4 linked regions of the Anolis sagrei genome follow. The protein of the gene in region 2 purifies or fractionates together with the protein of the main gene of each other region. This does not show direct contact. Links are inferred from orthologs where the notes say so. Each region holds a gene or a part of one and is shown on either strand. Other genes may lie near its edges. The genes, in order: DDX5, EP300, STRAP and EWSR1.

Region 1 (7,759 bases), on a different chromosome or scaffold from region 2:
TCCTACTTTTTAGTGCATCTACACTGTGGAATAAGTGCATCATGATATCCCTTTAGATGCCATGGCTCAATGCTTTGGGATCCTGGGATTTGTAGTTTGGTGAGGACACAGCACTGTAATAAGAAATTCAATGTACAGATTTGATAAATGTTAATTTAATAATTATGTGTGGGAATGAATGGAAGAATGGAAGTTGTATGTGTGGAATTAATAATTTTGGAGACCCTACTAAAATACTAAGGCCTTGGGATCCTGGAATTTGTAGTTTGGTGAGGACACAGCACTCTTGCAGAGAAGGCTAAAGAAAAACCTTGAAAAACAACAGTATTTATGGTATCATAGCTTTAAGCCATGGCAGTGAAAGTGGTGTCAAACTGCCATAATTCTACAGTGTAGCAGCACCTATAATTTGAATTATTTGAATCTAGGCCCTCTGTGGCGGTTGTATTCTCTTCCCTTGTGAAAGATGGCAATGCAGTGACTGCCTAGTACTGCAAGAGCCCCATTTAATCCATTGTCTAAAGGGGGGTTACACTTTCTTTCCAGCTGTACTCTGTTCCATCAATATTGTGAGTGCTCTCCTCCTTCAGTTTCATGTTTTCATTTACGAGCAATATAAAATAATGTATTAGAATTGCTGCTACACCTTTTCCATTGCTCTCTTCACTTCCGGCATATAAACAGGCAACATGTTAACCCCTCCTGGGTGTCTTTGTATTGACAGGCAAAGCCCTGTAATTTTTTTTTTTTTTTGCAGACTTTGAGCACTAAAGGTTTCCAAGACCTTTAGTACTCAAAGTTTGCAAAAAAAATATACTGCTATGTAATTAATTTTCTGAGTCCAGATGATCTGCTTTGAACCTGATTATATGGCAGCGTAGGTCCAGCCTCTGTTGATAATCCAGTTCAAAGCAAATCATCTGGATTCAGAAACTGGATTACATAGTAACCTAAGAAAATAACTTTTAAGAGGACATTGTCTTGTTTTGTGTGTTGAAACTCAACCAGAGCAAAATTTTATAAGACTGCACCATTTTGAATGGTTTTTACCCATTGACTTGTACATTTTAAATTGTTTCTATGTTAATGTTGATCTTTTGTATGTTTCAACTATTCTGCAATCGATGTAACTGATGGTGATGATAAGTGGATAAATTGCTACTATTGCCAAAACATTGCTTTGCAGATTCGATTGACAAGGTTTGACATGATAATGCAGAAAATTACAACAGGGAGTCCCCAAATTACAAACATCAGACTTACAAATGACTCATAGTTAAGGAGGGTGAGACAACAGGAAGTGAGAGAAATCTACTCTTCGGAAAGAAAATTCACTCCTTATAGTGGGAAAAAGGTGTTTCCACTTAAGCTTTCTCCCCAATCTTTGTTTCCACAACAAACTATTTTTTTTTCAAAATCCAATTATCACAGGGACAGAAGGTGAGGTGAAATCTTCTGAACAGGGTCACGGGCAGCAAAACAAACACCACAGGGCTATTAACTTTTCCCTATGCTGTCCAAAGCTTATAGAAATATGTGGCTGGAGTTACATTTCAAAATGTATGTGTTCTTACATACAAATTTAACTTAAGAATAAACGTACAGAAACTGTCTTCTTTGTAACTTGGGGACTGCCTGTAATGGCCTCGTCTTATAATCATGCAAGCGGTACAGGGAAAATATAGACTTGCTTGTGAGTGCCTTTGTTCTAGTGTAATTGAGCTTTTTGGGGTGTTATTTTGGAGTGATTTCACGATGGAACATCTCAAAGGTCGGTATACTTTTTTCAGCTGGGACTACTATGCTTTTAATTGACAAGTCAAATCTAGAAAATTCTAGTTACCCCAGCAAAGCAATGGAGTGACAGGAGAAAGTTTATCTATTGAAGCTGTGTTGGATTTGAACAATTAAAAGCGTAGGAACCCAACTAGGAGGAGGAAGAGCAGCATCTAACTGCTCAGGGGATCATGAATGCCTTTAGATTGCTTCATAATAGATTTATCACAATTATGTGCCCCTCTGACTTCACAGCAAGGTCTTTATAAAATCCTGGGGATACTGTTGGCCCAGTTTGATTGTGCAGCTGTCATTGGATGCATCTACACTGTAGAATCAATGCAGTCTGATACCACTGAATGTGATGGAATCACTGGAGTTATAGTTTCCCAAGGTCTTTAGCCTTCTGTGGGATCTTGCCAAACTACAAATCCCATCATCCTACAGAACTGGGCCACATCAGGTAAAGTGGTTTCAAACTGGATTAATTATACAACATAGATACACACAGTTAATCTGGATACTTAGCTTGTACAACTGCAGTTTATCAAACCTATCTTGAGGGAAAAGTTATTATGAATCTCGTAATATTTGTGTGCTATGTATAGCATACAATCTTCTATACACAATCTTCTTCCTGATGGAAACAGCAACCTTCTCAAGCCTCTAGTCTACTGGTTATTTGTTATGTATATAATTGCTTACTATATTTATTTGTGTATTGGTATGCAATTTGACCTTAATTCTTTGTTGTGGGAGGGGCTGCAGACATTGTGACACTTAAAACGTTAGCATATAAAATATAAATTCATATCAAGTCAATAAAAACAATAAAAACGTATATCCTCAGCATCTCCTTACTGAAATAATTATTCAATCACATCGTCAGTTATCAATGTTTCTTCAATAAATATTTTCCCATCTGCTTTTAAAAATGTTACTTTTCCTTAGGCCTTTTTAAACCTGTAAATTAAATGTTAATTTATCATTTACTGCTCATTTCCATATTTCCTTATACTATTCTTCTACCTTAATTTCTACTCCTCCTTTCCCATTTTGTGTTATTAATAGCCTTGTTAGATGCTGGTGTAATGTCAGGAGATAATGCTTCTGAAACATGACCATACAGCCTGGAAAACTCATAGCAACCGGTTCACAACATCGTTATCAAATTCTTTATGATTCTAGATTATCTGCTTTGAATTGGATTGGTCCCCACTGCCAAATAATCTGGGATAATCAGATAATCTTGGATGTAGATCCAGCCTGAGATCATATAATACAGTCCTAACTGCATGAAATGACTGTGTAGATAGGGTGATAGGCCCCAACTAAACTCTGATATAATCCATTTTATAATATATATATTTATAATGTATATTTTACAATATAATGGGTAAAAACAATTCAAAATGGCGCAGTCTTATAAAATTTTGCTCTGGTTGAGTTTCAATCATTATAATTTATATTTTACTAGCTGTCCCCTGCCATGCATTGCTGTGGCCCAGTCTGTTGATCTGGAAAATAAAGTAATGAGAAAATGTTGGTTTCTAATATATGTAATTTGTTTATGGTTGTGGGTAAGCATATTTCTTGCTGTTTCTTTGTCAGTGTTGATGCGGAGAGTGTCTGGTTTGCCCACCCTGGAACATATAGGATATCATTGTCCTTCTTTAGGGGTCCCTTTCAAATCTATGATACTATATCTCTCTCTGTGTGAATCATATCTATCTATCTATCTATTCCTTGATGGCTCTTTGTCAGGAGGACTTTGATCATGTTTTCTTGCCCTGATGAAGGGAGTTGGGTTAGATGGCCTTAAGTATTTTCTGTTGGTCGTGGGTGTTCTGTGTGGGAAGTTTGCCCCAATTCTGTCGTTCGTGGGGTTCAGAATGCTCTTTGATTGTAGGTGAACTGTGAATCCCAGTGACTACAACTCCCAAATGTCAAGGTCTGTTTCCTCCAAACTCCATCTGTGTTCATATTTGGGCGTATTGAGTGCTTGTGCCAAGTTTGGTCCAGATCCATCATTGTATGAGTCCATAGTGCTTTCTGGATGTAAGTGAACTACAACTCCCAAACTCAAAGTCAATGCCCACCAAACCCTTCCAGTATTTTTTGTTTGGCATGGGTGTCCTGTGTGCCAAGATTGGTTCAATTCCATCGTTGATAAGAGTTCAGAATGCTCTTCGATTATAGGTGAACTATAAATCCCAGCAACTACAACTCCCAAATGACAAAATCATAATTTTTGAGTGGTCACTCCTTGTGTTGTAAGAAGTTTTGTTGCCAAATTTGGTATAATTTCGTTCACTGCTTCTTTTGTTTTTAAGATGCTCATTATCCACAGAGCATTTTTATAGATATAGATAATAATAATATAAATATAATCCTCCTAGGGCCTTTCCACACAGCCATATAACCCAGAATATGAAGGCAGGAAATCTCACGTTATCTGCTTTGAACTAGAATATATGGCAGTGTGGACTGAAATAACACAGTTCAAAGGCGATATTGTGGGATTTCCTGCCTTGAGATTCTGGGTTATATGGCTGTACGGAAGGGCCCCTAGCCAACAAGAGAGGATGCGTGACAAACGTCCTCACGTACAGGAACCAAGCAGGGTCAGTGCCCGGAGCCGAATGAGAGCCGGTCTGCGCATGCGCGCTCAGAGCTGCGTGGGCGTCAGCCGTGGAGGCCGAGCCAAGCCTCACAAGGCGCCCTGGGCTCCAGCGGCTACTAGGCCGAGTGGGAAGCCCCGCCCCTTTTTGTCCGAAGGAGCCGAAAAGCCGGCCGGCTCCAGCTCCTGCGCTCCTTATAGGCCGAAAGAGGTGCCCATCACTGTAGCCCCGCCCCATCGCCTTTGAAAAAAAAGGAAGAACGTTGGAAGTGGAATCTGGAGGGAGGGGCGGGGCTCTTTAGTGACGTCACGAGCCGGCTTCCCGGCATTCGCGGCGGCGCCGGCTATATAACCGGCATCCGCCCGGCGAGACACTCCCCATTCAGTCGCCCCCGCCATCGGCTTTGCGGTTGATCCCAGCCTGCTTGTGTCCCTCGCCGTTCCGTCGTTCAAGGCCCTTTCTTCGTCGTCAGCATGCCTGGCTATTCCAGCGACAGGGACCGCGGGTGAGACCTGAGGGGGCTCTTTTGAAGGATGAACTCTGACGGGGAAGAGCGGGGGGGGGGGGGCTCTAAAATGGCGGCGGGGGGAGCCGGGGGTATTTAAAATGGCGGCGGGGGGAGCCGAGAGTGGCCAAAATGGCGGCGGGGGCGTTTGGGAAAAAGGAGAGGCGTGGGGGGGAATTCAGAAACGGGTTGAGTCTGGGAGGGGGAAGGAAAAGGGAATGGTTAAATATCTGAAAGGATTGTGGTGGGGAAATAGAAGGACCTCCTTTTCCTCCTCTCTTTTGTCTCTCGTCCCCGCCATGCGGTGGCTGAGGGGAAATCAAAATGCCGGCGGCTGCCTCCTTTGTTCCTCCTCTCTCTCCTTTCTCTCCTTATCCCCGCCCCGGCGTTAAAATGGACGCGCGCCGGCTTAGAAAATGTGGCGTAGACGGGGGAAAATAGGCCCTCAAAGCAAGGGGAGCCCCTCCTGTCCAGCTACCCGCCTTCCAGGCTTCCCTTTCCGTCCCTCTTCCTCCATTCCTTCCAGACAAAAGCTGAGCGGGGACGGATTTACTCCTCGGCTGGGGTTTTAGAGGAGACTTTCGATGGAAAAAGGGGGAGGGGGGTTGCGCATGCGCAGTGGCGCCTTGGCGTTTTTCTCCCTCTGTGAAAGAACCCTAGAGTTGAAGGGCCAATCCAGTTCAACCCCGTCCTGCCTGCCACGCGGGGATACACCATCCAATCACTCCCGACAGATAGCCATCTGCTTTGAAAAAACTCAAATTATGTGTTATGGTGGAACTCCTGAGATGTGGATGTTTATGTATGGTTCTCAAGAAAAGAAAAGAAAAGAAAAGAAAGGGAGAAAAAGGGGGGAAAAAGAAAAGAGAAGGGAAAGAATTTTTTTAAAAAGAAAAACTCCAGAGAAGGAAAGTCCACCATGCTTCCTTTTTTTTAAAAAAAAAAGAAGAAATATAATCCCCTTTGTTCTTTAAAAAAAAAGCTGCTTACCGGAATTGTGTCGGTTTCACAATCCTCCCCCACCCACTTTGAGGCACTCCCTCTCTGCGTCAAGACACTCAACAATTACGGAACAATTTTTTTAAAAAAAACAACACACATCCTTAACAGTTCAAGCTTTTTGTCCTGTATCACAGTGCATAGATTATAGATTGTAGTCTATACTATAGTCTATATAGGCTATATAATAGTCTATATAGACTATATAATAGTCTATATAAATAATTCCAACTCCCTTCATCAGGGCAAGAAAACGCAATCCAAGCCCTCCTGACGAATTGCCATCCAGCCATAGATATCTATATAAATAAAAATGTAATGTTCGTTTGTGGGATTAACAGAACTCAAAAACCACTAGACGAATTGACACCAAATTTGGCCACAAGTCACCTACTAACCCAAGGAGTGACCATCACTCCAATAAATTGATATTGTTATTTGGGAATTGTAGTTGCTGCAATTTATAGTTAACGTACAATCACAGAGCATTCTGAACCCCACCAACGATAGAATTGGGCCAAACCTCCCACACAGAATCCCCATGGAGATGGCTAGTCTATATAAATAAAAATGTAATGTTCGTTTTTGGGATCAACAGAACTCAAAAACGACTGGACGAACTGACACCAAATTTGGACACAAGACACCTAACATCCCAATGTATGTCCTTCACTCAAAAAAGTTGATTTTCTCACCAAAAATGGCAGTGAACCAAACGTGGCATACAGGACTCCCATGACCAACAGAAAACACTAGAAGAGTTTGGTGGGCATTGACCTTGAGTTTGGGAGTTGTAGTTCACCTATATCCAGAGAGCACTGTGGACTCAAACAATGATGGATCTGGACCAAACCTGGCACAAATATTCCATATGCCCAACTAGGAACACAGATGGAGTTTAGGGAAAATAGACCTTGACATTTGGAAGTTCTGGTTACTGGGATTTATAGTTCACCTACAATCAAAGAGCATTCTGAATCCCACAAACGATAGTATTGGGCCAAACCTCCCACACACAACCCCCATGACCACCAGAGTGGCCCACAGCAACACGTGGCAGGGGGCAGCTAGTAATAATAAAACTTTATTTATACCCCGCCATTATCTCCCCAAGGGAACTTGGGGCAACTTACATTAGGCCAAGCTCAATAAAATGCAGTTGCTTTGCTTGTCCTCTAAATCTTGGATGTTTTAATATTTGGATGTTGATAGTGATATATTAATATCACTACCACAATTAATTAATATTATTAATTATATATTTTTATTTAGAAGAAGAATATTGTATGCTACTATAAGTTTCTATCCACCTTATTGAACCACCCTATCTCTTAACCAGTTCGCATAGTGGCCTCCCCCCCTCCCTAAAATTAATCTGCTGTTGTTTTTTATAGTTGTTTATTACTGTTTATGATATTTTATGCTATTTTGTTATTGTTTTGTTTTTAATTGTATGTTGCCTTGGGCTTGGCCACATGTAAGCCACCAAGAGTCCCTTCGGGGTAGAAAAATAAAGTTACGATACTATACAATCATGTATAGTAACATTTACGATATTTCTACCCTACCTTTCTCAAACCCACAGGTGGCAAATGATATGATTAGAGCGATAGTATTATTATTATTATTAATAACTTTGTTTATATTCCACATCTCCCAAAAGGGACTTGGTGTGGCTTCCAAAAGCATGTGTTAGTGCAGTGCTATATGTACAATACAGTAAAACGAATTAATGGCACTCCATGCAGTCATGCTGGCCACATGACCTTGGAGGCGTCTACAGACAACGCTGGCTTAGAAATGGTGCTCATCTCCAGCTTAGAAATGGAGATGAGCACCAACCCCCAGAGTTGGACTC
Region 2 (7,056 bases):
CTTTCCATCCAAACTCACAGGCCCATCAATAAACCCATCATTAAAATATAGGAAAGACAGCTAGATGATTTGTCCATGTCCTCATAAACGTAGCAAGACTATCGGAATTTCAGACATTTTGGACTCACAAAGAAACAAACATGCAGTTTAAGAAGAGAATCCATGTTGTTTTCAATGCAAATCTGGTGAAACTGCTTTGACAAAAATGCCAATATGAACACTATTCATCTACATTGGCTACATTCCATTTAGTGGAAATGAAACAAGCAATGGTTCAAATCAGAATATTGATAACATTAAGGAGTAAGGAAGGCTGGCACTGAATGCCCTGTTACATGAGAAAATGAACATACATCCACACTATGATATATACCAGGCATGGGCAAATTTTGACCCTCCAGGTGTTTTGGACATCAACTCCCACAATTTCACAATTGTGGGAGTTGATGTCCAAAACACCTGGAGGGCCAAAGTTTGCCCATGCCTGGTATATACTGTAGCACAAGGCATTGTACAAATACTAAGAGACAGTGTTAACAGAGGTTTCAAGACAACAAATGGCCACACAGGTAAACCACACTATGATATATACCAGGCATGGGCAAACTTTGGCCCTCCAGGTGTTTTGGACATCAACTCCCACAATTCCTAACAGCCCACTGGCAGTTAGGAATTGTAGGAGTTGAAGTCAAAACACATGAAGGGCCAAAGTTTGCACATACCTGGTATATACTGTAGCACAAGGCATTATAGAAATACTAAAGAGAAAAATGGCCAAACAGGTAAACCAGCCAGTATAGATCCACACTATGATATATACCAGGCATAGGCAAACTTTGGTCCTCTAGATTGTTTTGGACTTCAACTCCCACAATTTCTAACAGCCTACTGGCTGTTAGAAATTGTAGGAGTTAAAGTCCAAAACACCTGGCAGGCCAATGTTTGCCCATGCCTGGTATATACCATAGTGTGGATGTAGTAGAGGGCCAAAGTTTGCCCATGCCAGGTATATACTGTAGTACAAGGCATTGTGCAAATACTAAGAGACAATGTTAACGGAGCCTTCAAGACAGCAAATGGCCACACAGGTAAACCAGCCAGTATAGACTGGCTTTCAGCCTCTTCAACGATATGAAAGGCAACAGCACTGAAACCCCACAACTGATTAATGCAGCCAAGTGTAAAAGTGGGTTCATAGAAGAGCAAGAGGAGAGACTACATGGGAGCAAAAGGAGCCCAAGAGGGAAGAGAAGGCTCCCAGAGTGCAGTGAGGGAAAACGAGGGGTATCTCTCCCCAAAACTGACCTGTGCCATCGCTTGCAGAGACAGAGAGAGCCGGTGAGGAGAGTTTAGGCCTCTTGGCTGAAGGCGGGCCCGACTCCACCACATTCTCGGCCATTTTTAATTCTTTTTTAGACAAACAGAGCCCAAATTGAAGACGGGGATCGATCTCCAGTGCCGCAAAAGCCACCTCCTCGGATCAGGAATCAAGTGAACAACAACAAATACGAGAAGAAGAAGAAGAAGAAAAGAACAAAGTTCCTCTTTTTTCTTTCTTTTAATGCCCCTCGGGATCTGTCTCCGTTGGGTAGCAGCAGCGACTAAGAGGGGAGAAAACAGAGATGAAGAAACAGGGTGTGGAAGAAGCAGCAGCAGCAGAAGCAGTCTTTTTTCTCTGGATGCCACAGAGGATCAAAAAGAGTAACAACAAGGGAGCAGGACTTGATGGGTTCCCCAAGCCGGCTCAAATCCGGCTGCGGGGCTGTTGGGGCTTCCTCGCGGCCGCCAACGCCACCATCTTCATCGCCATCCTCCTCGGGGGGGTCGCCGTGGAAGCCAACGCCGTCGTCGTGGTCGCCTCCTCCTTCTTCTTCTCCTCCTCCTGCTGCCTCTTCTCCGCCGCCATCAACCTCTTCCTCCTCGGCGTCGTCCTCCTCCTCCTCATCGCCACAAGGAGGCGGCGGGCGAAGGAGGAGGAGCGGGGGGGAGGAAAAGGCGAAGGAGAACCGTCCCCGCTTCCCCGCCGACGAGATGGCCCCCAGGTGGAGAGGGAGGAGAAGGAAAAGGGGGTCCCCGGCTCCCCCTACCGCCGCCTCCCTGGCCGGCCAGTCAGTCACTACCAATGGCTGCAGGAAAGGAGGATGAAGCAGCAGCAGCAGCAGCAGAGAAGTCCCAGGAGTCCCCGCTTCACATCTTGTTGTGCAGGAACAAGGAGGAGGGGGTTGTTGTCCCGATGGAGGGAGGGAAGGAGGGAAGGAGAGAGGGAGGAGGGCTCTTCTTCCTCTTCTCTTCCTCCTCTACCTTTCCTTCCTTTCTCTCTCTCTCTCTCTCTCTGTGGCAGGGTACCCCCCTTCTGGTCAGGCGGAGGGATCGATCCCAGAGGAGGAGGAGGAAGCTAGGACGGCCCCTCCCCCTCCCTCTCTCGCTCTCCCTCTCGCTGCCTCTTTTCCCCTCCCCGGAAAGAAGGAGGGCGACTGGCTAATGGAGAGCCAGGAGGAGGCGGAGGGAGACGGGGCTCCGGAGCCGAGGCGGCGGCGGTGGTGGTGCCTCAGGCGTTTCTGCTGCTACTCGGAGGGCTCCGTCTCCTGCCCGCCATGGAGGGAGGGAATGGAGGAGGCGCGGAGCCAGGCCACAGGCCCCAAGCCCTCCTCCTTCGGCGCTGTGGGTGGGGTCCCAAGCCCAGGCCGGGAGCAAGACGGGTCGGCGACGCTCTCGGCTGGCCTCGACTCTTCCCTGAACCGAGGAGTGCCCGGATCTCACTCAGCCGTCGTTGCCTTCCTTCCTCCTTTCTTTCCCTTCCTTCTCTCCCCGGTCCCCCTTCTCTCTCTGTCTCTGTCTCTCTTTCTCCGTCCTCTCTCTTCCCTCTCTTCCCTGGAGCCAGTCGCGCTCTCTTCTCTCTTCTCACACACACAAACAAAATGGCGGCTGTTGTTTCTTCACTCTCTCTCTCTCTCTCCCGATTCCTCCGAGGGAAGCCAAGCAGCCGCGGCCGGAAATGAGCCAAGAGGGGGGAAAGGGGGGGCGTGGCCAAAGAGGAGGGAAGGAAGGGAGGGGCAAAAGGGGCGGGGACGGCACGCAGGCTCGCGCACACAATGGAACGCGCGCGGGGCGGGGCCCGAGCTCGAGCCCGAGCCGGCTGCGGTCACGAGGCGAGGGTTTAGGCCACTCCGCTCGCGCGCTCCCCCTTCCGCAAAAAAAAAACAAAAAACCCTGCTCGGCGATTTAAAGGGGAGGGCGCGCGCACGCGCACATCTCTTCCCCTTCTCCCTTCCTCCGCCTTTTTTTCCGTCGGCCAAAATCAGCCGCCAGGTTGAGATTTTAAGGATAGGCCTGTTGTAAAAGGAGGGAGGGGGGAGGGAAGGAGGAGAGTGAGGCAGGCTGGGAGGAGGCCCCGCCGCAGGGACCGCAGAGAGAGAGAGAGAGAGCGAGGCCCCGTATAGATCTAGATATACACACACACGTAGGGATATTATCCAGATTGTGTGCTCTGCCTATACACTGGCCATCGTAAGAATCATAAATCACGGCGCAGCCTGAGGGCGGAGGGGCAAAGGCCTCCTTCCCCTCTTACGCCATTCTCGCCCTGCTTTCCCTGCCAGGACCCAGGCCTCTCCCTTCTGGGATAACAGAAGGCGGCCTGGCAGCCCAAGGTGTCCCGGCCTCCATGCTTGGCCTTCGGGCCGGTCCCGACTGAGGCCGAGAGTGTGTGACGCCGCCCAAGGCCGCCCCACCACACCTGCTGTCTGGCACTCAACACGAAGCAGAGAGTCGCCCTCTCTTCCGCGATCACCAGGAAACCAGAGTATGTCCAGGCGGCAAGAACGCCCTGTTCTTCCTGTGTAGACTAGTTTCTCCGGAACACACACAGCAACACATTTCCCCCACACTTAGAATTAGAGAACCCCATTTTCTCTGCTCAGCCTCAGAGGCGAAGAAGAGGCGGTTTGCAGGGCCCCATCTACAACAACAATAATAATAATGTCACAAATACCACCTACCAGCAGTAAAGAACTGGTGGGATCATGAACCTGCAAAGGTTCATGATGGGCCTGTTGTAAAAATGAACACACAAATGTGAGAAATGAACACGTAAAAACACTGTGGGACTTTCGAATCCAGACTGACAAAGTTTTGGAACACAAGACACCAGACATCACGATTGTGGAAAATAAAAAAAGTTTGGATTATTGATGTCACCATACCAGGGCCCCATCTACAACAATAACAACCATAATAATAACAACAGTCCTAAACACTTAGGAAGTGTCTGACGTGTGATCCAGTACAACAACCAGCAGAGTGATCTTGTCTGCTGTGGACTCATCTTGTTGTGTTTCTAATTATTATTATTATTATTATTACTATCAAACATGAACATGTGAAAACTGTGGTCAGCCAAGAATACATTCAAAAGGTCTGAAAAATTCTCAAAAGCAAGCTCAATGGAGGCAACACCATCAAGGCCAAAAATACCTGGGCCATACCTGTCATAAGATATACTGCTGGCATCATAAACTGGACACAGAACTGGACAATTTGGACAGAAAAACAAGAAAATTCATGACTGTAATTCACTACATCCTCGCAGTGATGTTGATCAGCTCTATCTGCCTAGAAAGTCTGGGGGCAGAGGACTTCTACAAGTCAAAGAAGAAAAACACGTCCTGGCAGAATATGTAAAGGAAAGCCAAGAACCTGCTTTAATTGAAGTCAATAATCAGAAACTTCTCAAAGCACAGCAGACAAAGAATCAGTACAAGATAACTGCACTCCAAACCAGAGCTGACAGCTGGCACAACAAAGCATTGCATGGGCATTTCCTTGACAAAATTGAAGGAAAAGTGGATAAGGAGAAGACCTGCTTATGGCTCACGAATGGAACCCTGAAGAAGGAGACAGAAGGCCTGGTTCTTGCAGCCCAGGAGCAAGCCATCAGAACAAATGCCATTAAGGCCAGGATTGAAAAATCAGCTGATGACCCAAAATGCAGACTGTGCTATGAAGTGGATGAAACCATTGATCATGTCCTCAGCTGTTGCAAGAAAATCGCACAGATGGACTACAAACAGAGGCACAACTCTGTGGCCCAAATGATTCATTGGAACTTATGTCACAAGTACCACCTGCCAGTAGTGAAGAGCTGGTGGGATCATAAACCTGCAAAAGTAGTGGAAAATGAATACACACAAATACTGTGGGACTTTCGAATCCAGACTGACAAAGTTTTGGAACACAATACACCAGACATCACGATTGTGGAAAAGAAAAAAGTTTGGATTATTGATGTCGCCATAGCGGATGACAGCTGCACTGAGGAAAAACAACAGGAAAAACTTGGCTGTTATAAGGACCTCAAAATTGAACTGCAAATGCTCTGGCATAAACCAGTACAGGTGGTCCCAGTGGTCATCAGCACACTGGGTGCCGTGCCAAACAATTTGGTAACAATAAACATGGACAAAATCGCGATCTATCAACTGCAAAATGCCACTTACTTAGATCTGCACACATAATTTGAAAATACATCACACAGTCCTAAACGCTTGGGAAGTGTTCGACTTGTGATTTTTTGATATGAAATCCAGCATATAGATCTTGTTTGCTGTGACATACTGTGCTTTTGTGTCAGTAAAATAATAATAATAATAATAATAATAATAATACTCCTGACCTCACGATTGTGTTAAAAAACAAAGTATGGATTGTCGATGTTGAATCCCAGGTGACAGCAGGATTGAAGAGAAACAACTGGAAAAGCCGACACGATATGAGGATTTAAAGATCAAACTGCAAAGACTGTGGCACAAGCCTGTCAAGGTGGTCCCAGTGGTGATCGGCACACTGGGTGCAGTGTCTAAAGACCTTGGCCTGCACTTAAACACAATCAGCACTGACAAAATTACCATCTGCCAGCTGCAGAAGGCCACCTTACTGGGATCTGCACGCATCATTCGCCGATACATCACACAGTCCTAGACACTTGGACACGTGTGACCCAATTCAACAGCCAGCAGAGTGATCTTGTCTGCTGTGGACTCCGCTTGTTTCAAATAATAATAATAATAATAATAATAATAATAATAATAATAATGGAGCTCCCAGTGGCGCAGTGGGTTAAACCCCTGTGCCGGCAGGACTGAAGACCGACAGGTCGCAGGTTCAAATCCGGGGAGAGGCGGATGAGCTCCCTCTATCAGCTCCAGCTCCTCATGCGGGGACATGAGAGAAGCCTCCCACAAGGATGATAAAAACATCAAAATCATCCAGGTGTCCCCTGGGCAACATCCTTGCAGACGGCCAATTCTCTCACACCAGGGGCAACTTGCAGTCACTCCTGACACGACAAATAATAATAATAATAATAATAATAATAATAATAATAATGTTCATCATTGCAATGAACCCACTGTCAGTAATTCTACAGAATTACTACAGGGCTGTGTGGAAGGGCCCTAGGAATGGCCCTTCAATGCAATTTGATAATCAGCTTCCAGCATCTATAAATCACAGAAAACTGTTCTCTCACATTTAAAAAGTTGGGTTTTTGTGTTTATTAAGATTTATATAATACCAATAGATAAGAAACAACCAAAATAGCAACGTTTTTATTTTAAGTGTTTCACTTTCATGGAGGTTCTGTGTCCCCAGTCCCAGGGCCCTTCCACAGAGTCATATAACTCAGATTATCAAGGCAGGAAATCCCACAATATCTGCTTTGAACTGAGTTATCTGAGTCCATGCTGCCATATATTCCAGATATTTTGCCTTGATATTCTGGGTTATATGGCTGTGTGGAAGGGCTCCCAGTGAATGCAGAGGGCTGACTGTGCATTTTGTAACAGGTATGGACACATTCACTCTCAAATAGCTTTGAATGTAACTCTAAGAAGTCCTCTCAAACATAGTCAAATGTAAAATATTATGGTAACTATAGTACAAAACCTGTGACGTTCAAAATTCCTCTAACCCTGTGTTATATGACATCACTCTTTAGTGACTTTCTTCCTATCTAGATGGTTGTTCTCAGAAGGTGGTGACAGACAGCTGTTCTGCCCA
Region 3 (7,354 bases), about 20 Mb from region 2:
TGCTTTAATTATATTGTTTTGAAAGTTTGATTTGATTGTATGTTTACTATTACTACATTGTGTTTCTTCTATTATAAGCCACGAGTCCTTTTGGGGAGAGAGGGCGGGATATAAATAAAGCTTCTTCTTATTATTATTATTAAAGTAAGTATTTTATACATGTTGTTCATAACCATAGGCAAAAACTAGTGGTTGTCATATCTGGAGTAGAGCTGTTGTAACACATGTAACTTAGTTATGAATGACCATGGCTCATTTCTAACCAGACATATCAGATATTTTAAGCAGACAAAGGGGCAAATGAATTGGGGATTTATAAGCAACAATCCAGCACTGTTGTTTGTGGGGATGAGGGAGAGGGCCTTCTCGGTGGTGGTCCTCCGGCTTTATTTATTTACAGCATTTTTGCCCCACCCTTCTCAACCCCCGGAAGGGGACTCAGGAGATTAGACTGGCACCCAATCTGTCCACCTTCCGTAAAGACCTTAAAACCTGGATGTTCCAATGTGTGTTTGAGAATGATTAGGCCCCTGTCCATGAACGCCCAGCCTCAATTGTCCATTAGAGTGAACTCAGCACTTTTCCACAGCCCTGGCCCTATAATCTGCTATTTGTACAAGTCCATGTCCAGCACTCGCTAATTTTTGATCCTGCCCATCTTATTCCTGGTTCTGGTTAGTGACATTTGTTTTGATTCAGTTCATAGTTGTTTTTAAATATTTAATTGAATTATTAAGTTTATTATGTTTTAAATGTATTTTTAGTGATAAACCCTGTTGTGTTGGGTTTCGTCCCACTAGTAAGCCGCTCCCTTTGTGGAGATGGTGGAAGGATATAAAAAATAAAGTTGTTATGACGATTTTTATTATTAGTTAGCAGGAATACACCCTGTAAAAAGTGGTTCCTCCATAGTTGTTGTTTTGTTCAATTTTTCTGCAATTTAACAGTTCGAACCCAACTTACTTAGCTGACCGCATCTTCTCCTATGAAACTACATGTGCCCTGAGGTTCTCGGGAGAGATCCTGCTCTCGGTCCTGCCTCTGTCTCAAGTGCAATTGGTGGGAACAAGAGAGTGGGCCTTTTCAGAGGTGTACCCAAGACTCTGGAACTCTTTTCCTAAAGAGGTTAGAATGTCTCCCTCCTTGCTTTCATTTAGGGATCTAAATTTCTATGGAAGCAGATCTTCCCTGAAGGAGAGGGATATTGAAAACAACAGATTCATCTGTGCAATGTATACATTTTAATGAACTTCCGGCAATGGACTTGACTACAGCATAGGAATGGATATCAGGTGTGGTTTTTTTTAAAAAACTTTTTTGAATGTTTAAACTGTGTCATGTTATCTATTTACTATGTATTTATATTTTTATTAGACATGTTTGCGGTGTGATGATAATGCTTATTTTTATCTCTATCTGTATATATAGAGATATAGCGGGCCTTGGCCTTTGTAAGCTGCACCGAGTCATTCGGGAGATGTTAGCAGGGTACAAATAAAGTTAATAATAACAATAATAATAATAATAATGCTTTGAAATGTTTTTTGTTACATGTTTGAGTCCCAATTGGGAGAAAAGCAGGATAGAAAATAATAATAATAATAATAATAATAATAATAATTTGCATTTTCCTGACTTGTTCTTATTGTTTGTAGTTTGAAACCATTGTAGTTTGAAATCACTGAATCAGCAATATGTCCTCAGATTGCACTTTAACTATTGGATTGGGTTGGATTGCGCTCCCCTCACCTTACCAGATATATCTTACCTTGTTCATGCCCAGTGTTTATTTTTTAAATTTTAAACTATTGCATTTGGCCCGACCATAGGTTTTTAAATCCTTGTGTGTTATTGCTTATTGTTTATATGCTATTTATATTAATTGTATACTATTGTATTGTTTTTGTGTATTGCTTTCTTGTATTGATGTGTTGTTGAGCTTGGCCTCATGTAAGCCACCCCGAGTCCCTTGGGGATTTGGTGGTGGGGTATAAATAAAGTTTTCTTATTGTTGTTGTTTTCCTATTTATGTAGCACTTAGGGCAGGCATGGGCAAACGTTGGCCCCTCCGGGTGTTTTCAACTTCAACTCCCACAATTCCTAACAGCGAGCTGTTAAAAATTGTGGGAGTTGAAGTCCAAAACACCCGAAGGACCCAAGTTAGCCCATGTCTGATCTACACAGCATAATGAATACAGAATACAGCAGAATGAATGAATACAGCGGAATGAATGAAGGCTCAGCCAGGCCTTCAAATGCTAATGAAGGTGGTCAGTTGAAACATTCACACTTAGCTCCAGCAGAGAAGAGCTCTTTGCCCCACCCCAGCCATTCCACAGATATATAAACCATTGTCCTAATGCCAACAGACCTCACTACCTCTGAGGATGCGTGCCATAGATGCAGGCGAAACATCAGGAGAAATGCCTCTAGAACATGGCCCTATAGCCCGAAAAAACCCACAGGAACCTAGTGATTCCAGCCATGAAAGCCTTCGACAATACATGGAATGAATACAACTTGGCATCATTTTTGCTGTCATGGCTCAACGCTAAGGAGTCATGGGAGTTGTAGTTTGGTGAGGCACCAGCACTAAAAGCCTTGAGAAACCACAAAACCCCAGAATCCTATATTATTGAGTCATGGCAGTTGAAGTGGTGTCAAACTGCCTTCAGGAGCTCCCCCACACCCCCAGGAGGCTCACCTTTGCAAGCACTGATGAGGAAGTAGCCGTAGGGGGTGATGCCGCTGAAGGCCAAGTCCACCACAGGCCGCGTGTGGCCCGAGCACGTCAGCGGCGTCTGTCGCATCGCCATGGCGGCCGAAGGAAGGGAAGCAGAGGGTGGACGAAGAAGGGAAGCGGCGGGGTCTGGAGGAGGAAAGAGGCCGCTGAGAGAGGCAGAGGAAGGCGACCCTCGCTGGCTCCCTCAAAGCCACGGGAAAGGCCGAGCCGCTGACGACGAGAGGGAGACGACGGCACGCCGGCAACGGAAGTGAACTCAGGAGGGGAGAAAAATGGCCGTCGCCGGAAGTGCTGAGCCGCCGCCGCCGCCTAGGAAACCATAGAGCCGCTTCCGGTTTCCTGTCCCGGGAGGGGAGAGGCATGGAAAGCTTATTCTTAAAGGGCTGCAGAGCGGAAGTGACGTCATCGCCAAGCTCTTCATAGAATCCTAGAGTTGGAAGAGACCTCATGGGTTATCCAGTCCAGCCCCCTGCCTAGAAAGAGGAATATTGGCGGGGACGAGGGAGAGGGCCTTCTCGGTGGTGGCCCCCCGGCTGTGGAACACTCTCCCGGCACACATCAGACAGGCGCCCTCCCTCATGTCCTTTCGAAAAAGCCTTAAGACCTGGCTGTTCGAGAGGGCATTTAATTAAGTGCTAAGCAACAACATTACGGTAATGAGAACTGGAATGGTATAAGGAAGATGAGACTGGCTATGATTCTACTAAGAGACGAAGCGGATTTTTATGTAGTTTGTATTTGTCGTATAGTTATATGTTGTTGATACTGGCCTTTGTAACTGTCTTTTTATGTGTACTGTACACCGCCATGAGTCGCCCGTAAGGGCTGAGAATGGCGGTTAATAAGTGCATCAAATAAATAAATAAATAAATAAATAAAGCACCCCCGACAGATGGCCATCCAGCCTCTCATGGCTAGAATCACTAGGGTCTTGTGGGTTTTTTCGGGCTATAGGGCCATGTTCTAGAGGCATTTTCTCCTGACGTTTCGCCTGCATCTATGGCAAGCATCCTCAGAGGTAGTGAGGTCTGTTGGAATTAGGACATATATCTGTGGAATGGCTGGGGTGGGGCAAAGAGCGCTTCTCTGCTGGAGCTAGGTGTGAATGTTTCAGCTGATCACCTTCATTAGCATTTGAAGTCTTGGCTGAGCCTGGGAAAATACCCTGTTGAGAGGTGTTAAGATGTGCCTGGTTGTTTCCTCTCTGCTGTTTTGCTGTAGTAATTTTAGAGTTTTTTAATACTGGTAGCCAGATTTTGTTCCTTTTCATGGTTTCTTCCTTTCTGTTGAAATTGTCCACATGCTTGTGGATTTCAGTGGCTTCTCTGTGTAGTCTGACATGGTGGTTGTTGGAGTGGTCCAGCATTTCTGTGTTCTCAAATAATATGCTGTGTCCAGGCTGGTTCATCTGGTGCTCTGCTATGGCTGACTTCTCTGGTTGAAGTAATCTGCAGTGCCTTTCATGTTCCTTGATGCATGTCTGGGCGCTGCGTTTGGTGGTCCCTATGTAGACTTGTCCACAGCTGCATGGTATACGGTAGACTCCTGCAGAGGTGAGAGGATCCCTCTTGTCCTTTGCTGAACGTAGCATTTGTTGGATTTTCTTGGTGGGTTTGTAGATTGTTTGTATGTTGTGTTTCCTCATCAGCTTTCCTATGCGATCAGTGGTTCCCTTGATGTATGGCAGGAACACTTTTCCTCTGGGTGGATCTTCATCTTTACTCTTGTGGCTTGTTCTTGGTCTTGCAGCTCTTCTGATGTCTGAGGTGGAGTCTCCATTGGCCTGGAGAGCCCAGTTGAGGTGGTTCAGTTCATCTTGGAGGAGGTGGGGTTCGCAGATTTTTTTTGCACGGTCTGCCAAGGCTTTAATGGTGTTTCTTTTTTGACTTGGGTGATGGTTGGAGTTTTTATATAGATATCTATCTGTGTGTGTGGGTTTTCTGTAGACGGTGTGACCCAATTGTTGATCTGGTCTGCGGATGACTAGGACATCTAGAAAAGGCAGTCTTCCTTCATTTTCTTTTTCCATGGTGAACTGGATGTTTGGGTGGATGCTGTTAAGATGGTCCAGGAACCTGTTGAGTTCTTTTTCTCCATGGCTCCAAATGGTGAAGGTGTCATCCACATATCTGAACCATATCGTGGGCTTTTTGGTTGCTGTTTCCAGGGCTTGTTCTTCAAAGTGTTCCATGTAGACGTTAGCTATGACTGCCTTGTCTGGCAGTGCCTGGAGCAATCTTTTGCTGAGAGATTATTAGATGTCCTTGTTTGTTTCCTCTCTGTTGTTGTGCTGTTCTAATTTTAGAGTTTTTTAATACTGGTAGCCAGATTTTGTTCATCTTCATGGTTTCCTCCTTTCTGCTGAAATTGTCCACATGCTTGTGGATTTCAGTGGCTTCTCTGTGTAGCCTGGCATGGTGGTTGTGAGAGTGGTCCAGCATTTCCGTGTTCTCAAATAATATGCTGTGTCCAGGCTGGTTCATCAGGTGCTCTGCTATGGCTGACTTCTCTGGTTGAAGTAGTCTACAGTAGGGATCTTGTTAGGCCGCTCCGTCGTTTCTGAGGCAACAAAATCTGAGGAGAGATGCAGCCTTGCTTTTTTTAAAAAAGACTCGAGGTGCCAAACTGCATTCAATCTACAGTGTAGATCAGGCACGGGAACACTTCGTCCTTCCAGGTTTCTTTGGACTTATTTATTTTATTTATTTATTTAGTACATTTCTATACCGCCCCTCTCAGCCTTCCGGCGACTCAAGGCGATTTACAAGGCAATTCATTGCCACCAAGGACACAATTACAATATCTATATATTAAAAAATGCTCTGTGCATAATGTGTACCTTAAAAACAAAAGAACCAATGAACGAAATCACACCAAATTTGGCAACAAAATGTCTCACAACACAAGGAGTGACCATCACTCAAAAAATAATGCTTTTGTCATTTGGGAGTTGCAGTTATTTATTTATTATTTATTTATTATTATTTACTTTGCTTATATACCGCTGTTCTCAGCCTGGGGTCGACTCACAGCGGTGTACAACATAGAAAGAACAAGGTTTAAAAGTCAAGACGCAATCTAAAATATCAATCTAGCAATAACCAAAGACATCATCATCAAAAACATCAACAATATCAATAATACAAAAAGCCATTCATGTCGTCTCATCGTTTAAACCACAATCCAGTATCATTTTCCGTTGTTCCATTCCTGTCGTCATTACCAATTATTGCACTTCTTGTTCGAACACTTTCTTGAACAGCCAAGTTTTTAATTTCCTGCGGAATATCATCAGGGAAGGAGCCAGTCTGATGTCCACGGGAAGGGTGTTCCACAGCCAAGGAGCCACCACCGAGAAGGCCCTGTCTCTCGTCCCCGCCAGGCGGGATCGAGAGCAGGGCCTCCCCGGATGATCTCAAAGTCCTGGTGGGCTCGTAGGCCGAGATGCGGTCAGATAGGTATCTTGGGCCGGAACCGTTTAGGGCTTTATAGGCCAACGCCAGCACCTTGAATTGAGCCCGGTAGCAAATCGGAAGCCAGTGGAGCTGGTACAACAAGGGCGTTGTATGCTCCCTGCGTCCCGCTCCTGTTAGTAACATGGCTGCCGCACGTTGGACCAATTGAAGCTTCCGGGCTGTCTTCAAGGGCAACCCCACATAGAGAGCGTTGCAGTAGTCTAAACGGGATGTTTAGACTACTTGAACCCTACCAATGATAGAAATGGGCCAAACTTCCCACACAGAACCCCCATGACCAATAGAAAATACTGGAGGGATTTGGGAGGAATTGACAATAATTTAAGGGAGAGCACGCCTGCTCTCCCCTCTCCCCTTGGAGTCACGGAAACAGCCCTCCCCTTGGCTGAGAAGCCAGCCAATCACAGCAGGAGGAGGGCTTTTGGTGGGAAGAAAAAGGAAGAGAAGGACAGACTGAGAGATCTTCTGCCTTCTCTGCCAAAGAGCTTCCTAAGACCATCAAACAAAATGTTTTCTGATGGTCTCTGGCGACCCCTCTGAAACACCCCCCCTGTGGTCCCAACCCCCAGGTTGAGAAACACTGCTGTACACAGTAGGTTGTTAGGAATTATGAGAACTGATGTCCAAGACACCTGGAGGGCCGGAGTTTGTACATGCCTGATCTACACTGTAGATTGAATGCAGTTTGGCAACACTTCAACTGCTATGGAATCATGGGAGCTGTAGTTTTAAAAAGGTCCGTAGCCTTCTCTGCCAGAGAATGCTGGGGCCTCACCAAGCTACAACTCCCAGGATTCCCTAGCATTGTGAAAGTGCTGTCAAACTTTCACAATGCTAGGGATGCACTCATAGTCAATCTTCAATTGAGGTGCAACCACATCTGGAAGGCCATAAGGTGGCAGAAACCTGTCTATTGATTATGTATTCTGTCAAAAATGTTAAATGCTTAATAATGCCAGGTTCACCAGTCTAACCCTCTATAAAGAGGCCCTTATTTGAAGAATTGGGGACTGGACCGGACTGAATCAATTGAAAAATGGGACACTCTCAGTATGTTTCTAGCTTGCAGATATAAGACTGAGCACTAGATGGCACTACAAAAGAGTGAAAGCGGCTCAAACCATCTCAAACTAGC
Region 4 (7,914 bases), on a different chromosome or scaffold from region 2:
CAATGGAAAAAAGGAATAATTATCCAAAAGATATTTTTGAAAGGTTAAAGAAATAAAATTACCATTAATCACAATAAATAATGCTTTTAAAAGATTCCAAAAATAAAATGACCAATAATAACGAAAAATTGTTTAAAATGGAATTTCTACTGAGGAAAAAAAAGATTCCTGATTCTCTCTCTATATATACAATATAATAATATATAGAAATAATAACATTGTAATGTAATAATACTAGCATATTATATATATTAATGTGATATGTTATATATACTACAATTTATGATATAGTACAATATGTTATAGAATGCTAACAGTATAATATACTGGTAGTGCATTAAATATATTGTGGTGGAATAATATAGTATAATAATATAATTTTCTATTATATATTATTAAAATATTAGTCTAATAGTATAGCACAATATAATATATAATATTAATATTGTGCTATGCTAATAATATATAGAACTATACTTATAACTAATTCCTTAACTTATTGAAGAGCTACGTATTTATATATTTTATGTTTTTTTATATGTTTATATTTTATATAGATTGTAACAGCTTTAATGCTTAATGGGGTTATTTATGAGGCCTGACTGAGTTATATGTTGTATCTTTTAGCCAATGTTGTTCAATTGTTTTATTTTTAACTGTTTGCTTTAATTGTTTTAATTTGTTATTTGCACATGGCATTGAATGTTTACCATTTTTCGTTTTTGGAAGTTGCCTTGAGTCCCTTCCAGGGAGAGAGGGCACGTTAAAAAGAAGTTGTTGTTATATAATATTATGAGTCCCCTTGGGGAGATCAAGTATGGTATATCAAGTTTTATTATTACATAATAAGAAGAATGTAATATGGTAACACCAATATATTAAATAAAATTACTACTGATTATATATAATAATGTATCACAGAATCAGAGAAGTGGAAGAGACCTCGTGGGCCATCCAGTCCAACCCCATGCCAAGAAGCAGGAAAATCACATTCACAGCCCACCCCCTAGAGAAGGCCATTCAGCCTCCACAACGGGGCAGAGAGTTCCACTGCTGCTCTCAGTTACGAAGTTCTTCCTAATATTCAGGTGTAATCTCCTTTCTTTCCTGTAGTTTGAAGCCATTGTTCTTCATCCTAGTCCCCAGGGCAGCAAAAAACAAGCTTGCTCCTACTTCACTATTACTTCCCTTCACATCTTTTTTCATAGCCCCCATCATGTCTCCCTCATGCTTCTCTTCTCCAGGCTAAACATGCCCAGCTCTTAAAGTCGCTCCTCACAGGGCTTGTTCTCCAGACCCTTGATCATTTTAGTTGCCCTCCTATGGACACATTCCAGCTTGTCAACATATCTCTTAAATTGTGGTGCCCAGTATTGGACAAGGTGTGATTCCAGGTGTGGTCTGCCCAAGGAAGAATAGAAGGTTGGCATGACTTCCATGGATATAGACACTATACTCTTATTTATGCAGGCCAAAATCCCATTGACTTAAGCCACTGCATCACATTGTTGGCTCATGTTCCCTTTCCTCCCCACACACGTGCTGCTCTCGAGCCATGCGTCTCCCATTCTGTATCTTTGCACTTCATTTTTTCTACTTAACTGGAGTATCTTGCATTTGTCCCTGTTGAACTTCATTTTGTTCGTTCTGGCCAATCATCTCTCTAGTCCAGTGGTTCTCAACCTGGGGTCCCCAGATGTTTTTGGCCTACAACTCTCAGAAATCACAGCCAGTTTACCAGCTGTTAGGATTTCTGAGAGTTGAAGGCAAAAAAAACATCTGGGGACCCCATGTTGAGAACCACTGCTCTAGTCTGTGAAGATTGTTTTGAATTCTGCTCCTGTCTTCTGGAGTACTGGCTCTCCCTCTCAATTTGGTGTCGTCTGCAAACTTGATAATTGTGCCTTCTAACCCTTCATTTAAGTCATTAATAAGGATGTTGAACAGAACCGAGCCCAGGACGGAACCCTGCTTGTGGCATTCTACTCCTCACTCCTTTCCAGAATGAAGAGGAAGCATTAGGGAGAATCACCGCCTGGGCGCGTTCACTTAACCAATTACAGATCCACCTAACTGTAGTTTTGATAATATTATACTAGTTTTGATAATTATAATACTGTTTAATTGTAGCATATTTGAAGTTGTCATGTTTTTGATTGAGAGCCACTTTGAGTCTCCATAGTGAGAGATACAGCAAAATATAAATCAATTTTTATTTTATGCTAATAATATGGTCTATATATAATATTTGTATTATACATAGACTACATTATTAGCATAAAATAAAAATTGATTGATTTATATTTTGCTGTATCTCTCACTATGGAGACTCAAAGTGGCTCACAATCAAAAACATGACAACTTCAAATATAATATATTATATTATGATTAATAATTATTATTAGTATATTATAATGTAATACTATAATATTAATCATAATATAATATAGACTGAACGAATAAACAACAAACTAATATTGCCCTATGCTAATAGTAGATTATATAGACAAATATTGAGAGTAATAGTGATAAAGCGGGATATAAATCGATCAAATCAAATAAAAAATTTTAAGTGTTATTTAAAATAATAAAAAACGCGTTTCAGAGAGAGATAAATAGGAAATAGATGGCAGTACATCAACTAGAAGGTGATTTTTTACCACCTCTTCCTGGGCCTTCCCTGAGGAACCATTTTGTCCTCCATTTTCCTCCCAAAACCGTTTTCTTTTCCCTCAAAAGCGACCCCTCTCTTCGTTTGTCCGCCTCCGCCAATATTCCCACACCAGTTTCCCTTAAATTCCCCTCAAGAGGGGCCCATTTCCCTCCTTTTCCCACTTCACGCGGCCCTCATTCGAGCCAGCCTCACCCGTCGACGCCATCTTCCCTCCTCCTCCTTCTTCTTCTTCTCAGCCGCTTGAGCCCTGCCCCTTTCCAACGGGCTCTATGCCGCGCATGCGCAAAGGAGCCCCACTCGCTTCTTCCTCCGCCGCCTCTTTCTTCACCCGCTTTTTCTCTCTTTGGCCTCGCCCGCCTTCCTTATATAGAAACCCAATCTGGGACTGTTCCAATGGAAAGGAAAGGGGTGTTAATCGCTTTTCCCTCCTTTGTACCACTTTGGCATCCCCCGTCCTTCTTGTCGAAGCTTTTCGTTCTCAGAGTCTTCCAATGCAATGGAAGAGGGATTCGTTCCAGAGAGGAAATTGAATCACTTCCCCCGCCCCTTATCCGCTTTGGTATCTCCCGCCCTTGTATAAGCTTTTGCACTTCCAACGAAAGGGTACAGTGAAGTGAGGGGGAAATGAGGCTAGAGCTTGAGTGATGGGAGGAGTCTAAGCCTAAGCCCCTCCCACTGTGCAGCTTTATTCACCCCCTTTTCCGACTTCGACTCTTCCGACCTTCTGTTAGGAAGCTATGGCACGGGACTCTTCCAATGAAAGGGAAAAGGGGGCGGGAGGGAGCAAATGAAGGCCAATGTAGAAGAACGCCACGTTCTTCCCGCCCCCTTATTCTCCTTGGTATCCCCTGCTCTTCTTATTCAACGATGAGTCTTGGACTCTTCCAATGAAGGGAAATAGGGGTGCGAAGACAGCAAAGGCTTGCATAGAGGGGAGGAAATGGTTCTGTCCAGGTGAGTTTGAAAAGCAGGACTGGGCATGATAGCTCACAATCAAAAACATTACAACTTCAAATATACAACAATAAAACAGTATACCATGATATATTATTGTATATTATCAGTATTACTTATTTTTATTATTAGTATTGGTAAATTACAATATTATTGTTATATAATAATAAAACATACTGCCCTATCTCCCCAAGGGGACTCATTATAATATTATTAATAATATTATATGTATATATTATATTATGAGTATAGCACAATATTAGCATTATAAATTATTATACCACTAGACTGCAATATTATTAGTAATATATAATAAACAATTATATTATTATATATTATTATCTTGTACTATAGTATTATGCCACAATGTATATAATACACTAGCAGTATATTATACTATTATATATATTATATATTATATATATTATACAATTATATAATACATTGTACTCAGGGGCGGCTCAACCCATTACGCAAAGTAAGCATTTGCAGTATAGTTGATGTTGCTCAGGGGCGCTCTTGGAGGAAAATAGACCTTGACATATGTGAGTTGTAGTTACTGGGATGTATAGTTCACCTATAATCAAAGAGCATTCTGAACTCCACCAATAATGGAATTGAACCAAATATGGCACACAGAACTCCCACGACAAACAGAAAATATATATCAGTGATTGGTTGGGGGGGGGGGGGGCAAAATACAGTTTGCTTACCATTGAAAATTATCTAGGGCCGCCTCTGATTGTACTATATCATAAGTTGTAATAATAAGAACAATACTTTATTTTTCACCTGTCCTTTCTCCCCAAAGGGACTCTTTCAATCACAGGACTTGTTGCTTTGCAGGGGAATGCGGATACGACGGCTTTGGCGTGGACAATGGGACTTGCAGTGGCCCCCTGTTGCTTCCTCCAGCCTCATGGGACTTCTCTTCCTTGTTTGGTGGATGGACATTGAGGAGGGTTTGGCCTTAGTGCCCGGCCTGCTCACAAATCCCTTGCAAGGTAGGCTAGCCATAGAATCGCACTGGCTTTTGTTGGCCCTTCTGAGCGACCCTATGGCATGCTTCAGCCAGAAAATAAGGAAAGCATTCCCCATGATTGCGCAAAAAAGGGTATCATGCTATCGCCCACCACAGTTTCTGCTATTGCCCATTCACATTTCTGCTATTTTACACTACCATGCGCGGCAACTATATTGTGCGATTGGACACTTACCTATATCAAGCTAATATGCAATTGCATATTATGAAATTGGAAAAGCAACATATTGTTTACATGTAAAATAATGATATTACAACATTGAGCAATAGCCAATATGCCATTTTGTGCAGGAATATTGTGCTATCGCGCAACAGCTATATTATGCCATTGGACCCTAACTATTTCTCATTTGCACTGTAACTATTGGGCTATTCCACAAATAACCTTATTATTCTGTACCACAATACCTATATCCTGCTATTGTGCATCAAATACTGTGCCCATTTGTAATTCGCAAAAACTGTATTATGCTTCTGAGCAATAGCAATACTCCTGTCCTGCTATTACACTGTTGCTCACACACAGTATCCCTTTATTGCGGGAGAACAGAATTCCACTATTGTGAAAAATACCCAGGTCCGTGATTGCGTGAGAATTGTATCCCACAGAGGATCCTGTTATGCACCGTGTTTTTTTGGGAAGGACTCCCTTTTTGTTAGTTGTCACCTTCTGCCCATATTTTGACGGATTTGAGTGCGCAATAACCTGTGTCAATTTCTTCCCTGCAGCTTTCCGCCTCGTAACATACTGCCTCTGCCATTCAGACATCTCTCTCCTGTCAGTCAGCCTTCTCTTCTTCCCGCTCTTTGGATGGCGGCCAGAATTGCGCATGGGCACCATACACTTCCTCTACACCGCTGTCCTTGGGGCGGTCATCTCAGCCTTGATGTACCTCCTTCTGGCCGGACTTTGGGGCGGTCACTCAAATGCTGTAGTCAGTGGCTACACTCCGGTCCACTTGGTCTTCCTGGGTTCTCAGCAGTGGCGGAAGGGGCTCTCTGGCTGGATGTCCACCGCCTTGCTGGCCGGAGCACTGGTGGGGCTGACCCAGGCCCTTTCACCCCAGTCATCCTTCCTCCTCCATATCTGTGGCCTCTTGACTGGTTTGGCGTGTATCCTTGAATCCTAAACTGGCCAAAATATAGATTTGGGTGATGTTTAGTCCAAAGGTACAGGTCAAAAATGAGTATAGATACCTTCAAATGACTTCTCGGGAGCATGGGAGAGGAAGACCTCCAAATGACTGGTCTGCTGAGCCAATAGTGGTGTCTTCTCCCCCCTTCAAAACCTCACTCTCGCCTTAGATCAAATTTAGCCAAAGGTCAACATTCAAAAGTGACCTCTAGCCCAAAGTAACCCAAGTGTAGCCCTTCTGGTTTCTTTCTGGCTCCAATGACTAGCAGTCCAATAGTGAAAGAGTCCTTCCAAAAAGATATCCTTGGGTCATGTTTAGCCAAAGGCCAGGGGTCAAAATTGGCCACCAATTACCCCAAATGACCTACAGGGAGCGTAAGGAAGGTACAGGCCTTTTGTCCAAAGTAGCCACAATGTAGTCCACGTCCAGTAGCTCAAAACCAAAGGGAGTCTCTCTCTCAAAAAAAATACTGTCGTTGGGAAACATTAGTCAAAGGTCAGAAGTCAAAAATAGCAACAAATCTGGTTTTAATCCTTGACATATCTCAGACCGTGCTGGGATTTTCTTTCTCCTTGAACCATCGGACAGGTTCTTAGAAAGGATACATAGCAGGATTCAAATCCAAATCCCTCCGTTCCTTCACTTCGTCCGGCCCCCAGAAGCCAGAAGCCTTCCGGTTACGAACCCCATGGCAGCTGCTAAAACACAAGAGTAAGCCTATGTTACCCACTTTGATTCCTTTTCAGTATGAACATTGACTTACCCCTAGACCAGACCTCACATTCATTTTCCTTCCCAGGATTTACGCAGCATCCAGTATTCAATTCCCAGAGCTTTTCCCAAGTGAATCCCCATCACAGACAAGAGGAAGTCCTTCCTTGTCCCCTGCTGTACCTTTCTCTGCCTTCCAGGAAGCCCTAATAGAGGAGGAGTTGCTCCAAGCCGGCATCCAGGCCTCCCTGGAAGACATGGTCAAGGAAGAGGTCACACTTTCCAAATCATCCGTCTCGTCCCTCCGGTAAAATGGTGGACCATGAGCAGACTCCAAAATACGGAGTGGGTTAGGATTAGGTTGGGGTCAGGTTAGGGTTGTGGTCATGCTGGGGATGAGTAGACTCTGAAAAATTGGGGTTAGGCTGGGTTAGTTAAGGTTTGGTAGATTCCCAAATACACATTGGATTACGGCAATGATAGATAGATGATAAATGGACTCGGAAATATGGAATGTATCAGAGTTGGATTAGGATTAGTTTGGGGATGGGTGGACTCTGAACTGTGAAGTGGGTTATGGTTAGGATGGGTTAGGGTGGGGTTGGATTAAGATTAGAGTGGGGATGGAGTTAGGGTTAGAGATGTTAGAGTCAGGTAGTGGATGGGTTAGAGTTAGGGTTAGATTGGGTAGGTGCCAAAATATGAAGTAAACCCAAGATAGGGTTAGGTTAGGGTAATGCTAGGGAAGACTAGCCTCCAGAATATGTAGTGGGTTAGGTTTGGGTAGACCCTGAAATATAGAGTATGTTACAGTTAGGATTGGTAGGCCCCAAAATATGGAATGCTGAGTCATTATCTCATATCTAGCTTGGGATGGGCATATCAGAGTTGGGATGAGTAGACTCCAAAATATGAAGTGCATTAGTCTTAGAATGGGTAGATTCCAAAATACAGAGTAGGTTAGAGTTAGGGTGGAGATGAGTAGAGCCTGAAATATGGAGTGGGTTAGGATTAGATTGAGGATGGGTAGGCTCCGAAATACCAAGTGGGTTAGGGTTACAATGAATCGACTCCGAAATATAGAGTGGGTTCAGGTTCGGGCTTGGTTGGGGTTGGATGAGGATGGGTAGACTCTGAAGGCATCCATTCTCTTTTGCAGGCTTCAGCAGCTCCAAAAAATGGGCTTCGCCACTGAAGAGGCAGTGGTTGCTTTGGCTGCAGTGGGCCACGTCGAGGGTGCCGTCTCACTGCTGATTGGCGGCCATGTTGGAAACGATGCCGTGGTGGTGGTCCCTCCTGACCGGAAGTAGGACATTCTTCGCAGTGTTGACCGGATGGTCTAGGATCACGGATGATCTGTGCAGTCAAATTGCCTCCTTGCCATCTTAGGGGATAAT

Evidence for each region.
Region 1: the proteins of EP300 (region 2) and DDX5 purify together in Homo sapiens (affinity purification with western blotting; 5 studies listed by BioGRID and IntAct, with this or other methods). This does not show direct contact. The link is inferred for Anolis sagrei from reciprocal best matches to the Homo sapiens genes EP300 and DDX5.
Region 3: the proteins of EP300 (region 2) and STRAP purify together in Homo sapiens (affinity purification with mass spectrometry; 3 studies listed by BioGRID, with this or other methods). This does not show direct contact. The link is inferred for Anolis sagrei from reciprocal best matches to the Homo sapiens genes EP300 and STRAP.
Region 4: the proteins of EP300 (region 2) and EWSR1 purify together in Homo sapiens (affinity purification with mass spectrometry; 3 studies listed by BioGRID and IntAct, with this or other methods). This does not show direct contact. The link is inferred for Anolis sagrei from reciprocal best matches to the Homo sapiens genes EP300 and EWSR1.

Annotation. Positions count from the first base shown.
Region 1 is NC_090022.1:179,768,389-179,776,147, reverse strand, and holds the start of DDX5 (probable ATP-dependent RNA helicase DDX5), read left to right. Parts: upstream 1-4,749; 5' UTR 4,750-4,870; coding exon 4,871-4,902; intron 4,903-7,759. UniProt on the Homo sapiens protein: Involved in the alternative regulation of pre-mRNA splicing; its RNA helicase activity is necessary for increasing tau exon 10 inclusion and occurs in a RBM4-dependent manner. Binds to the tau pre-mRNA in the stem-loop region downstream of exon 10.
Region 2 is NC_090025.1:161,827,759-161,834,814, forward strand, and holds the start of EP300 (histone acetyltransferase p300), read right to left. Parts: upstream 3,014-7,056; 5' UTR 1,400-3,013; coding exon 1,306-1,399; intron 1-1,305. UniProt on the Homo sapiens protein: Functions as a histone acetyltransferase and regulates transcription via chromatin remodeling. Acetylates all four core histones in nucleosomes. Histone acetylation gives an epigenetic tag for transcriptional activation.
Region 3 is NC_090025.1:181,635,653-181,643,006, reverse strand, and holds the start of STRAP (serine-threonine kinase receptor-associated protein), read right to left. Parts: upstream 3,019-7,354; 5' UTR 2,817-3,018; coding exon 2,705-2,816; intron 1-2,704. UniProt on the Homo sapiens protein: The SMN complex catalyzes the assembly of small nuclear ribonucleoproteins (snRNPs), the building blocks of the spliceosome, and thereby plays an important role in the splicing of cellular pre-mRNAs.
Region 4 is NC_090034.1:48,575,875-48,583,788, reverse strand, and holds the start of EWSR1 (RNA-binding protein EWS), read right to left. Parts: upstream 3,002-7,914; 5' UTR 2,880-3,001; coding exon 2,867-2,879; intron 1-2,866. Other genes in the region: RHBDD3 (rhomboid domain-containing protein 3), read left to right, coding at 3,615-3,628, 4,475-4,632, 5,400-5,783, 6,355-6,517, 6,606-6,824, 7,677-7,827. UniProt on the Homo sapiens protein: Binds to ssRNA containing the consensus sequence 5'-AGGUAA-3'. Might normally function as a transcriptional repressor. EWS-fusion-proteins (EFPS) may play a role in the tumorigenic process.